Linked DNA regions of Drosophila melanogaster. The protein of the gene in region 2 purifies or fractionates together with the protein of the main gene of each other region. This does not show direct contact. Each region holds a gene or a part of one and is shown on either strand. Other genes may lie near its edges.

The links. The genes of interacting proteins can lie anywhere in the genome.
Region 1: the proteins of Tsf2 (region 2) and Cont purify together in Drosophila melanogaster (affinity purification with western blotting, with the first as the bait; one study listed by BioGRID). This does not show direct contact.

The regions. Positions count from the first base shown.
Region 1 is NT_033777.3:4,379,612-4,387,337, reverse strand, and holds Cont (contactin), read right to left. Parts: upstream 6,033-7,726; 5' UTR 5,809-6,032; intron 5,460-5,808; 5' UTR 5,371-5,459; coding exon 4,521-5,370; intron 4,469-4,520; coding exon 2,783-4,468; intron 2,448-2,782; coding exon 2,281-2,447; intron 2,218-2,280; coding exon 1,345-2,217; intron 1,289-1,344; coding exon 1,120-1,288; intron 1,059-1,119; coding exon 925-1,058; intron 870-924; coding exon 576-869; 3' UTR 320-575; downstream 1-319. Other genes in the region: Sfxn1-3 (sideroflexin 1/3), read right to left, coding at 6,391-6,635, 6,707-6,834, 7,068-7,229, 7,293-7,410, 7,514-7,663, 7,720-7,726. UniProt on the Drosophila melanogaster protein: Required for organization of septate junctions and paracellular barrier functions.
Region 2 is NT_037436.4:12,529,910-12,535,466, forward strand, and holds Tsf2 (transferrin 2), read right to left. Parts: upstream 3,816-5,557; 5' UTR 3,704-3,815; coding exon 3,643-3,703; intron 3,570-3,642; coding exon 3,142-3,569; intron 3,063-3,141; coding exon 2,929-3,062; intron 2,864-2,928; coding exon 2,703-2,863; intron 2,644-2,702; coding exon 2,192-2,643; intron 2,129-2,191; coding exon 1,964-2,128; intron 1,898-1,963; coding exon 839-1,897; 3' UTR 527-838; downstream 1-526. Other genes in the region: nst (nesthocker), read right to left, coding at 26-126; CG34242 (uncharacterized protein), read left to right, coding at 4,158-4,334; Pmm2 (phosphomannomutase type 2), read left to right, coding at 4,746-5,510. UniProt on the Drosophila melanogaster protein: Iron-binding protein and component of septate junctions that form the paracellular permeability barrier in epithelial tissues.

The DNA of each region.
Region 1 (7,726 bases), on a different chromosome or scaffold from region 2:
CGAAAAACCAAAAATAAACACTTAGTTCTTAGTTCTTTTTGATATTTTTGGACAATAATTAATTTTGATTTGTGATAGTTTCTGAGATCTCGACGTCCATAGGGACGGACATGGCCAGATCGATCCTGATCAAGACCTCTTCTACCTGCTACATATTTTTTAACTAGTCTGGTATACCCTTTTACTTCACGAGTATCGGGTATAAAATGCAGGAGTAGTATTACCAGGTGAACAAAAAGGGACATAAATATGGCCAACCGGGGCACACGTTCATAATTAATTCATAATTCATTATTCCAAGTAAAAAAATAGGGATATTGTTATTTTTAGTTCAGCAACATACTGGACCATATAATGGTATTCATATTTATTTTGTTGATAAAATTTTAGAAATTATTTTTTGATAAAAGTCTATAAAATGGACGGAATTGCATTTGTATCAATTAAGGGGCTTGCAAGAGAGCACGGATGGAATGTAGTTCTTTTTATAACTTCACTTACTCAAATATAAGGTCACTTCTTAGTATATGTATGTTCTTACTGCCTAAAGTTATGGATCTTAATTTGTGCTGCATTCATTGGCTTGTGTAAAGAAAGGTGCTAATGAGTAGCAATGTGCTTAAGATAAGAGCCGTATTGATATTGTGGCCATGTCGGGTATTTGCGCCGTTGCGCGTGGTCTTGCCCATCTGGAAGTGTAAAGTTGGACTGGACATGCGACCGTCTCCTCCATTGCTGTATGCGAGGACTCGCATGTTGTAACTCTTCCCTGGCGTCAGATTGTTGATGTACGACTCCAGTTTCTGTCCGATTGGCACTATGGTATTGTTGGCCGTAATCATGTTCTGGTCCGATTCCCAAATGCGAACCTAGAAAGTTTCAAACTGTAATCGATTTTCTTGGTCACGGTGCCGGGAGTTGTACCTTATAACCCTCTACTGGTTCCTCGTCTTGCGAAGGTGAAACATATCTCCAAACAACCCGCACGGTAGACGGGTTTATTCCATACACGTGAACCGAAGATGGCGGCTTTTGCGGGGCCTTTCTATATGTTCGTTCTAAAAAGCATGGTGTTTAAGCATTTTCTTTAAATGGTTTTTTAAACTGTTCGTTACACACCTTCAAAGCGTTCGCTTTCAGGTCCTTCACCTGCAGCATTGTAAGCCATGACTTTAACAAAGTAGTAAGTATCTGGTTGTAGACCTACGATAAGCGCCCAATTCCTTGTAGTACGTGACAGGTAGTATACCGAGTCTTCTTCCTGGTGCGTCGTTTTCCAATACTTCAACTGGTGAAAGATAAGGGTTTTTGACAATGCAATGGAATTAAGTGCAGTAACCATACCCTGTGGCCAATGAGTTTGCCACGAATGTTTTCACGGGACATGTCTATAGGTTGCCAAGTGACATTAAAGCATGTGGAGTTGTAGGCGAGCGCAATGGGCTTTTGAGGAGCCACCTGTGGCATGTCCTCAGCGGAGTGTATGACAGCTATTTCACTCTCCGGTCCCTTGCCAACACTGTTAATGGCTTGGACTTTGACTTCGTACTCCGTATAGTAGTTATTAAGAGGAATATTAACCACAGCCACGCCCATGTGATCCTGTTTTTTTATTTCGTCAGATGCCCATTCAATGGCTCCCTTGAGCTTCCAAAACACTTTATAGTGTATGCCGTGGCTATGCTGCTCTTGCGGTAGAAGCGGATCCCAGGTGATAGTTAGGTCGCCAATCTTTCCACCTCCACCACCCACGTTCCTCGGGGCTATGTATGGTTTGTCCTCATAGGTGCTGTAAATTGGCGAGGGGGCCGAGGGCGTTCCGATTCCCAGATCGTTTACAGCAGTAACACTAAATTCGTAAGCCGACCACGGCGTCAGATTGACAACCTCGGCTTGCTGGCGAGAGGTGTATCGATCTACTTCTCGCGCCTGCACATGGGTCGACACATTAACCCAGGTGCGATTCCAGTTTGTACGGCCTAGGATGTTGTAGTAGCGGATCGCACGACCGTTGTGCGATCCGTCCACCCACTCAATGATGGCCTTCGTTTTACTTATCTGTATGACTTGAACACCACCAGGAGCGCCAGGAGCTCCCTCAATAGAAACACTGGTCTTGCTGCTAATTTCGTTTACCGCCGACTTGACAACGCATTCGTAGTCCCCGGCATCGCGCATGCTCGTGTTATGCACTGTCAATCTGTTCCAATCTACAATCTGCAATAACAAAAAGGTTAATATAAGGACAGGTTTAGTGCAGATTTCAGAACATTAACTTACAATGCGTCCGGTGCCGTCGTGATTGTTTTTTAGGACTTCGCCGTTGTGTTTCCAAACATAAGCAATGTCGAGGAGTTCATCAAAGGCGGCCTCGCAATGCAAGAAGATTAAGTCGTGTTCCTTAGAAACGATTCGTTGTGGAGGCGTTTCAATGAAACGAATTTCCTCTGTAAATATTTGAATAAATAGGTTTACATAAGTCTTGATAAAATTTCAAGTATTTAAATACTAAATTAGTTTATTATGTATTAGTCATTTTACTCTTACTATGCTACTCAGACAATAACAAAGATAGGTGCATTAAAAACAATTTTAAAAAAGTTCTCTAAACAATGCGTTTTATCAAAGTAAATATATATTATTTATAAACTATATATAAATTAACTTTTTTAAATAAAATCATTTTGCATCCAATTGAGGAAACACAAGTAGGTTTTTTGACAAAATAAAATTACTTTTTAAAAAAAATGTATATTGCATATGAATGACATTTTCTACTTACGCAATACAATAACACGCGCGTGCGATTCGTCGGTGCCGGCTTGGTTTGATGCAATACATGTGTAAATGCCCTCATCGTCCCGCGACGTGGGTGATATTGTCAGGGTACCACTGGGCAGAATGCGCCGGTGGCCTCCCGAGCCAATCACCTGTCCATCCTTCTTCCATTGAAACTTAGGGCGTGGAGCGGCTTCCGGGTCGCACACAATTGTCGTATTGCCGTTGTAAACAGCATAGACTTCAGATTCAAGGGGATGCTTTTTAAAGGACGGTTTCATAGACAGCACTCGGAGCTGCGCCGAAGAGAAGGAGGTCTTCAGTTGGTTTTGGGCACCACATTGGTACATTGCGTCGTCTTTATCCTTTTCTAGAAATTTAATGGTTAACACATTGTCTTGGATAATGTATCGGTCGCGATTAATATTCGCTGGGTCGAGTCGTTCGGCATTTTTGTACCACGTGTAATTCGCGTCCGGAATTGCAAATGCCTCGCAAATGAAAGTCACGTCACTGTTGTAGTCTTTTATCATGTCTTTAAGAGGTATGGTAAATTGTGGGCGCATTTGAATATTGATGTATATGCTCTTCATAAGTGTCTTCCGGGGATTGGTAATCGTGCAGGAGTACTCGCCGTTGTCGTTCGTTGTCGCATTTTGGATTATTAAGACACGCCCATAGTTGATCGTGTAGGCGTTGCGTTGGAGAGGTAGGCCTTGGCGGGTCCAATTGTATGACGGAATGGGGTAACCGAAGGCCATGCACTCCAGCCGAATCTCGTCACCTGCCACTGGCGCCTCCGGAAAGACTTTAGGGAAGGTGTTGGCAAATATCAGTGCTTGATAGTTGCTGTTGGGGGTAACGCGCAACGGAAAGAAGGGTCCGTTGCGACCGGTGTCCGACACAAGGGTCTGTACGGTGCACGAGTAGTTGGCTCTGTCCACAGTTTCTATGAAGGAGAAGTATAGGGCACCATCGCGGGAGACGAATACGCGTTGATCTTCCTCCACGAAGTTAGGAAAATAGTCTCGAGCCCAGTAATAGCGTACGTCGGGATAGTGCTGCGGGGGGTCACAGAATATGGATTTGCCCCAATTCATCTCGCTTGTCTCCGCAGACCGTTTTAGATTGAATTCCATAATGAAACCGAAGTTTAAATGCGCGCTTTCGGATCGAATTCGCCCAAATTTGTTTTCTGCCACACAATGATACGCGCCCTGGTCCAGCGCTTGCTTCGGCTCGTAGATAATCAGGTTGCCTCCTGATATGGTGTATCGATCCTGCGCCAGGGGATCAATCTTTTGGTACTCGAGTCTGTCGTCTACGTATACCTCTCGGTACCATGTGTATGAAGGTGTTGGATACCCGTTGGCCAAACAGCTAAGAGTAACATCATTAATCAGGCGATTCTTGTTCACATCGAAAGTCGTGTCGTTTGGCTGCTTTACGAAATAAGGACCCCGTGGAATCCGTTCCATGTCGTTTATATCGAGTCCATAATGGTAGGGACGCTTGTCGTCTAACTTTATGTTGACATTGTCTGAGCTGTATAGTACTTTTGACTCGCATATAAAGAGATTTAGTTCAATTTCATAGGCTGGCATGAACATCCACCGATCCCTTTTCTTTGAGAAGGCGTACACAACGCGATCGCGCACATATCGGTTGTCTCCATACGGCTGGTTGGGACCTGTAAGGAAACGATGTTTAGCAAATCGACAATTTTAAATAGTGAAACTTGCCTATAAAGCCGCGAAGGTTATTTTGATTGCGCTGATTAACAGTCCCCGGAAGAGAGTTGTAAAACTGATTTGGATTATTGATATTTTGGTTGTTGAGGTCGTTTTGCACAAGGAATCTATTGTCGTGCAGATCTTCGTTTTCCAAGGGCACTTGCTCGTCCATGGAAAAGGAGTCTTCGATCTGGACTAACTGGGTGTTGTCATCGTTGACCCAATTCAACGGGCCCGTTTGCCGGGCGGAGATGAAGAATCGGTTCTGCCGTTGATTCTGCAGGATGAGATTCTTGAGTATAAACGAGTGCTTCTCTACATTATCCACGTTTATCAGGTCGGCATTGTGTGCCTTGCAGATCTTTTTAGCCTCTGCCCAGTTGCGCTTGGGCGAGCGGATGAAGCGATAGCACGTCTGTCTGAACGAGACCCAGTGCTCCGGGCAAAAGTTATCTTCATCCGTATAGGCGTCCCGGTAGCTGACACCTGCTGAACCTATGCTGTTCCGATTAAAGGGGTCGTACTGTGGGCCGAGTCCGCCGAGGTTGTTTCCAGGCCCGACTACATTGCCGCCAAGGCCCCCACCTCCTGCCCTGCCATCATAGTACCCCTTGTAGGTATTAGGGCTCTGTCCGTCGACCAGCGTATTGTCGAACTGGTTGGGGTCAGCGCTTTGCTGTCCAGTATACAGGGGGTTGTATCGCGGAGAGTAATCCTTGTTGTAGCTAGGCTGATAGTTCTGAGGCTGCTGTCCCGACTGCGGATCCGGATCCGGCAGGTTTTCGGAAAATTGGGGCGTGATCTGGCCAACTAAGTTGAGCACAAGAATACTCGCCAGAAGGCCGATTTTTGCTAGCATAGTTGGTCCTTAGCTTTAATAGCGTGGGTTCTGGTTTAGATGTCTCGCAGCAGACTAAAGGCACATTTTGCTCTGGAATTCGATAGTTTCTGAAAGCAGAACGAAAGAATGTTCTTGTTTATTTTGCCCCTCTTATGGCATAAACAAATTGAATGTAAACAGATTTGTCGATCGCAGGTCATTCAAATTTGTGATACGATGTGTCAGCACGCGTATATACAAATGTACATATGTGTATGTGTGTGTGTATATGTGATTAGGCGTGGTCGTAAGCCGCGATTGATCTTCGATCAACTGACTTTTTAGATTATTCAAGCACACTTTAGTTGTGTTTCCTATTGAACAAGGACAGTTTTAACTGACTAAAGAAGGGGGCTCAATCCAAGTAGCCCGTGCTGGCAAAACTAATTGGTCGCATAGGCAAACACTTAACCACACCTTAATTACGACTCCAGGACGCAGCACACGAACGGTTGAAAACGCTACCACTGCGAGGTGTTCCTGCTGACAAAAAAAAAAACCACGAGTTGTGCGGATCCGGACAAAATAAGTATCAGAGGCAATTTACAGCTTTTTAAATTATAGTTTAATTAAATAAAAACAAAACAGTCCAGAAGCTGAGTCGACCAGCAATTAGATATGCGCAAGCCACGACTGTGGGCTACGCTGCCATCGATGGTGCGATAGAGGCATCGATATGCATAGTCGATATCCCGCTGTAATCGCCATTCGAATAAATAGTGTGCGCGGGCCATTTGAAACTGAGTTCAGATAACAGTTAACAGATATATTTTTGTTTCATACATTTTCACTTTTACACAATCACTATAATATACACTGTAAATTTGATTCACTGACGTGTCGCTTGCTGTGAACGGTAAGCATATGCGGTCAGGCTAATATCAGGAGTATTTCGAACAGAAGTCAACAGGCAAAATGCCAATAAATGCAAGAAGGGAAATAAATAGTTGCTCAATCGAGCAGTATTGTCTCCGTTAAGCTCGTAAATGGCATAGGGCCTCACAGTCCCTTGTTGAACCAGACAGTTTCCAATTCCGGACGCTTCTTCCTAATGCTGTCGCGGACCTCCGACTCCAGGCTATCCACTTTGATGTCCGCTCGCTGCTTGAAGAAGGCGCAGCCAAGGGGCGTGGCGAAAATCAGCACGAAGCCGCAGAAGAGCGTTTGGATGGGAGCGTTGGATCGCGGGTATTTAGCCAGGAATCCCCTCTTTTCGAGGACATTCATCAACACCGGTGTCAGTGCTGAAATTGAGAATAGCGTAAGTATCGTAAGTTGTTACACTTTTGTGCGCAAGGATGTCCAGGAGACGTACTCATTCCCGGTATGGCCATGGCGATTCGACTTAGGATTACGGTTGAGATCCCAACAACGGCCGCCTTCTTTGAGATGCCCATTTCGTTGCTGTGTTCATCGAAAAGCGTCACTCCGTTGCGCAGCTCTCTGTAAAAGAGGAATATTATATACATAATTAATTCACTGTTTTACGAACGGCCGAAGTAGCGTAAATTCGGTAAACAGCTTTAATAAAATATGAATAAATTAATAAAATGCTGGTAAAATTATCTCTCTAAAATTGTAGCAGAGCTGCTCTAATCGAATCAGGCCTATTTCATAATTTTACTAAAAACAAAATGTATAGAGGAAAGAGCTTCTTTAATACAAATTTAACTTACTGCATTCGCATGCAGGGGATGTTGATGCAGTTGGCAGCTCCAACTGCCACTAGGGGGACAAGGCGACCCAAGAGCGGATTCATGTTCTTCACTGCGTGGTTCAGGGAAAGGGCCGTGACCAGGGCTCCGCTAGTGGCCAAACAGTACGAGGTAACTAGTTGCCTGAACAGGGGACGAAATCGGTGAAGTTAGTGTCGGGGACTGCGGCTGGAAGGAGGTACCTACTGCTGGCTGATGGGCGAGGTTCCCGAACGGTTCGTGTAGTTAACAATGGCGTTGAATGTCTGATTGAACCACTGCCAGAAGACGACGGCGGGAGTGCTTTTGTAGAAGGCCATCATGCCTGGAATGTGATTTAGCTATTATTGTAGTCGATTAATCAGCAGTGCGGAAGCACATAGTTTATTTGACGTCAATTGAGCACCGAAAAAGTCGCTAATACGCACCGCCGGTGATGATTGTGTTCATGGGCATCTGCGCAGCCATGCGCCCGATGACTATCTGCTTCTCCCCGGTCTCTGGATGGAACGCCGAATCGTACAGGTACTTAGCGCGCCACACGTCGTCGATGGTCTTGCACTCGGGAACATCCTTGCCTTGAAGTGCGAATAAGATTAGTGATCTAATTTGGTTACCTACTCTTCTTTCTTACCAGCCCG
Region 2 (5,557 bases):
ATCGTTAATGGAGGCAACTACTCACTTGCCGCGAAAGCCAGCTGTTCCATATTGGATGGTCTCCTTGGAGGTCTTTGGGTACATCTCGCGGGCGAAGGCGTAGACGGTGCGCAGGTTAATAGACATCTTGCGATACTCGAGGGCGGTGCCACTGGTCCAGAGCGAGGTGAAAGGTTCCGTCCGGTTTTTCCGGACTTTCGAAATTTAACAATTCCACAGATGTGTGCAGGCGGGTGTGACCGTCGTTTCGCGGCACTGTTCCACCCTTGCTTATGCGGCCAAGCGGTCACACTGCGCTGAAACTTGTAACTACGCTATTTTCTTTAATTTCAAACATTTTACTGGCTTTATAAACAATACAGAGTGTTTTAAGGTTAAATGCAATATTTACCAGCGTAAATTTCAATAACATCTATGTTTCAAAGCGATGTTAGCGCACATATTCAATTTGAATTTGGCGGCTACAATTGCGGTCAAGATATTAGGATTCTTCAAATGATACTAATTCAAAATAAGCAAAATAACTCCTTTATCTAGTTATTTTATTTGTATACTTACATAAGCGGTTGTAAAAGATTCGGCTTACATCTCCTAGGTACATTTTTTGGACGGTCTTAGTTGGTATGTACACAAACAAATACTATAATAAGGCACAGGACTTTATAAATTATAAACTATAGCCTTCAACAGATATTTTTCGGCTAGTTAGAGTTTCATTTTCGGACGGAAGGGATTTCACATTTAACTTAATCATATTTGGAATGTAAAAATGTTGATATGTTTTCTCTTTGTGCTAGAGATGCTTGTAGAATTCTGAAATCTAAGTGAGTCTAGTGGCTTAGAGCATTGCAACCAGCGAACCCACGAGGAGCAGGCCCACGGATAATGCCAACTGGGAGGCACCAGCATAGCAGTCGGTGATGCGGCGTGCTCGCATAAAATCGCTGCCCAAATAGGCATCATACCTGCGCTTATTGGGCGGAATTACTTGCAGCTGCCGCGTGGCGTCCTGGAAGATCAGATCATAGTGCCCGATCGGCGAGGAGAACATGCTGAAACTGAAGGCGTCCACTTCCTTGCGACCGTACAGTTGTTGGGCATAGGTCAGCAGATTGATGTAGGCATTCATCTGGGTCTCGTTGTAGTTGACTCCGCCGCGGGTGACCACAGCATTGGCCTTAACCTTGCCCAGATTGCAGCGCTTGTAGTCCTGGATCTCGGCACGAGTACCATCCGTGCAGAGCAGCTCAAAGTCATCGTTTAGGGCATTCCTGGCCCACCATTCCTTGCGTTTGCCGCCCGTGCTTTCCATCACCGTGGTGTGCTTCATGAAGGCCACGTGACCGCCGCCCTCGACGAGGCAACGGAATGCACCCGTGTGCCCGTAGTATTCCTCGGAGGCATCGCGACGACAATAGCGATAGCTAGTTCCATGACACAGATCGCACATGCTGTCGTAGGGCACACCGGTGTTGTACTCATTGCTAATGGCACCCGGCACGCACGACTTGGTGAAGTACTCCGCGGCAGCTCGAACCGAATCGCATCCGTAGGGACGAATCCAGCCGTTCGAGATGAAAAGCGCCATCGGATATGTCCAGCCAGCGGCGGTGTTAATGCCCGTATGGCAGGTATTCTTACCCTTCAGGTAAGTTAGCTCCGTATCGGGATCATCCTCCTTGGCCACGGCAACCACATAATACTCGGGCTCGCCCAGATTGTACACCTCCGACATGAAGGGCACCAGGTCGTAGTTGAGGCCACCAGTGTAGACATCGCCGGCATCGAAAACGGAGATGTCTGCTTTGCCCGCTTCGATGAACTGCATGCAGTTGATGTGGGAGTGCATTTTCTTGCAGATGAGTTCTGGTTTCAGGAGGTGAGCTTTCAAGGCAGTCTAAAAGTGTTTTTGTAAAGGATCATCAACTCATCTTGCTATCCATATATTCACTCTTCAACTCACCCTCATCTTGATGCATTTATCAAGCTCATTCTCCGAAGTCACGCAAAGCGTCATCGCTGGAACTGGACACTCACGGATGCCGTAGATAAAGTTAATGGCAGGGCCTAGGTACTTGGTAAATGACTGATCATCTTCGGGAATCACGGTTAGAGCGCGACTAGAATCCTGTCACAAAACAATTGAATGTTAAGTATGTATTTCGGATCACGGAAAATATGATCCACTTACCTGGAACAGCAAATTTGGCTTGCCATAGCGCTTCGACTCGAAGATGCGGAACTTCTCATAGAGTATGGAAGTGTTCGTGCCGTCCTGCTGGTTTCTTTCCTCTGCAAAACTGCTGTCCAATCGTTCGCTGCGATACTGATCGTATTGATTCTGCGTTCTGTACGGATCATTATTATCGAACTGGCCATAGGCATTCTGATCGTTGATGTTGTTGCGGCTGTTGAAGCTTTGTCCTCCCTGCCTGCTCTGATCATCACGTGTGCCATCGGAGTACAGCTCGGCAATGCGCTTCAAAAACTGCTGATACTGCTTGCGATCGCTGAAGCTGCGAGCCGAAGATGTGACAATGGCATCGGCGGGCACTTGGCCCCAATTACACTGGCGATAATCGTTGATGGAGGCACGACGACCATCACGACACAGCAGCTCAAAAGTGTCGGGTGCTATGTTCTCTAAAAAACGCAGCTTAGATCAGTAATGGGTTTTCAGAAGTTTCCCTTTGGTAACTCACTGAATTCGGTGGTTTGCAGCATTTCATTCACAGTCGAATGGCGCAAGAAGGCAACATCTCCTTTTTCAAGCAGACATTTGAAGGCGCCTTCGTAGCCGAAGTAGGGATCTGCAGATGAGCAGCGTCCTCCGGGTATCTTTCCAGTGCAAAGCGTACAAAGTCTGGTTTGAAAATTGATTTGTTGTTAGTTAATGTGTGTAAAATTGTGGCTTTTATGCGTCATTACTTATCGGAGTTGTCGCCAATTGGATTGTGTTTGTCGGAAAGCGAGTACACAGCACACGAATTATTGAAATAGCTGGCGGCCGTCTTCACCTGGTTGTTGCAGTCCACCACTTCCATGCCGCCCTCCCTTTGGAGCTGCAAAACGATAAAATTTGTTTGTTAGTTGCCTAATGAAACAAATAAACAATCAACTTAAAAGAGGAGTTCTACTCACCGTGTGAATGGGCACAATCCAACCGGCCAAGCTGCCCACCCAGGGGAAGCACACCCTCTTGTTGCGCATGTCGCGCAGATTGTTCAAGTCTGGTAGAGATCCCTTCTTGATCACGGCTACGGATTGATAGTCCGCAAAGCCGCCCTCCAGTTTCTCCTGCATAATGGGTATGAGGGAGTTGTACCGTCCAGCAGTGAAGACATCGCCCGCATCCAGCGTGGTGATGTGTGCCTTCTCGCGATCAATGTGATGGATGCACTCATCCGCACTGTAGGCCATGAAGCAGGTGAGATTGAGGAACACCTCGTCGAATAGTGCCCGATCCCGCTCGATGGCCACCGTAAGGTTCTGGCATTTGTACTGCTCCGCCTGGCTCTTGGTGCACCACACCATCCGTGTGGTCTTGTGCTCATCGTAGTGATGTTGTGCTGCAAAATCGTGGTTTTAACTCATGCCAACGCCCTAGAAATGGGCGACTTTCGTATTCCAGCCGCAACTTACCGTTAGCGAGCGTAAAACATAAGGCGCCGACTAGAGCCACAAAAACGAGGCTGCTAGCCATATTCGGGATATAAGAATATTAATAAGTGTATTAACTAAAAAGATCTATCTGCAAAAACAATTACTCAAACAAAACACCACACCCAAGCCCAGCTCAAGGAAGCCAGTGTAACCAGAGCGGGCAGAAATAGACATGATTTCAAAAAATACCAACAGGTACACACAGTGGAGAATGCTTAAGTGAGATATGAATCAAGAAACATATTTAGCATTCAGGATATTTCTAGTTTAATCTATACCTATATCTATTTTTATTATATATACAGTAATCTTGTTTATTTATATTTTACTTTCTATCAGGTTATCTCTTCTGTAGTATTTACTGCACTTCACCGGTGACCACAGTAGTGTGACCACACACTTGGCGTTTTCTAGCATCTTACGGTCAACCAGGTGTTTTGTGTTTTATAATAACAAACCGAAAAGTCAGCTAAAATATTCCATATTTTAGCTAAATGGCAGTCCTGCGTGGTTGGAGATTCGTTGGATTCGTGTCCTGCATCGTGGGCGCCGTGGGCCTCACCCTATACCCCGTCATTGTGGACCCCATGGTTAACACTGAGAAATACAAAACCCTGCAGGAATACAGCAAAATCAAGAGAGATGAACTGCAGCACATTAAAAGGCAGTAGAACCCCCTGTTATGCTACACTTAAGAACCCAAATATGTGTATTCTAGTTTGCCTGATAAAGAACTGCAATGTACAAATTGCTATTAAAATAGAAACTATTTGTACCCTGACAGCATGAACTCCATGAATTAAACTGTTACCTATACATGCAGGAAAATCCAAATGATTGTGCTTGAATGTTTATACTCTCATTGTTTTAAATAGTAAACCTAACGTAAAAGGCAATTCAAAACATTAATTTTGATTGCACTTGGATTCCGGAACTGGTTCCCCTTGCCGGTGCATCGAAAGCTTTAGGGGATTTCTCACCACTGCGTTGCCGCTTGTAAAATTCTTTATCTCGAATCATACGTGGACATAAATATCTGGATATTAAACACCTGCTGATTTACCACAAAATTTAAATGCAAAATGACCACCGCCGCATTGAAGCGTGATGAAATCCTGCTGCTCTTCGACGTGGACGGCACGTTAACGATGCCCAGATCCGTGGTCACTCCGGAGTTCGAGGAGTTCTTCTACTCGCGGGTTAAGCCGAGGGCGACCATCGGAATCGTCGGAGGCTCGGATCTGGAGAAGATGTTCGAGCAGCTGAATGGCAGGAAGATACTCAACGAGTTCGACTTCATATTCCCGGAAAATGGGCTGGTGCAGATTGAGGGCGGAAAGGAGGTGGGAAAGCAGAATATCATCATGCATTTGGGCGAGGAGACGGTGAAGCGTTTCATCAACTTTGTGCTGCGCTATCTGTCCGAACTGGATGTGCCCATCAAGAGGGGCACCTTTATCGAATTCCGGAATGGCATGATGAACGTTTGTCCCATTGGCAGGCAGTGCACTCGGGAGGAGCGCAACATGTTCGCCGAGTACGACATTGAGCACAAGGTGCGCGAGAAAATGATCAAGGACCTGAAGCAGGAGTTTGCCGATGTGGATCTCACGTACTCGATTGGTGGTCAGATCAGCTTCGATGTCTTCCCGCATGGTTGGGACAAGACCTACTGCCTGCGACACATCGAAGCGCACTACAAGTTCAAGGAAATCCACTTCTTTGGCGATAAAACGGAGCCGGGCGGCAATGACTATGAGATCTATAGCGATCCTCGAACCATCAGCCATAGGGTATATACTCCCAAGGATACGCAACGCATTCTCACCGAGATTCTGGAGCTGTGAGAATTTCGAGCTTACTCAGCAGTTGAAAATATTCCATTTTTATACAT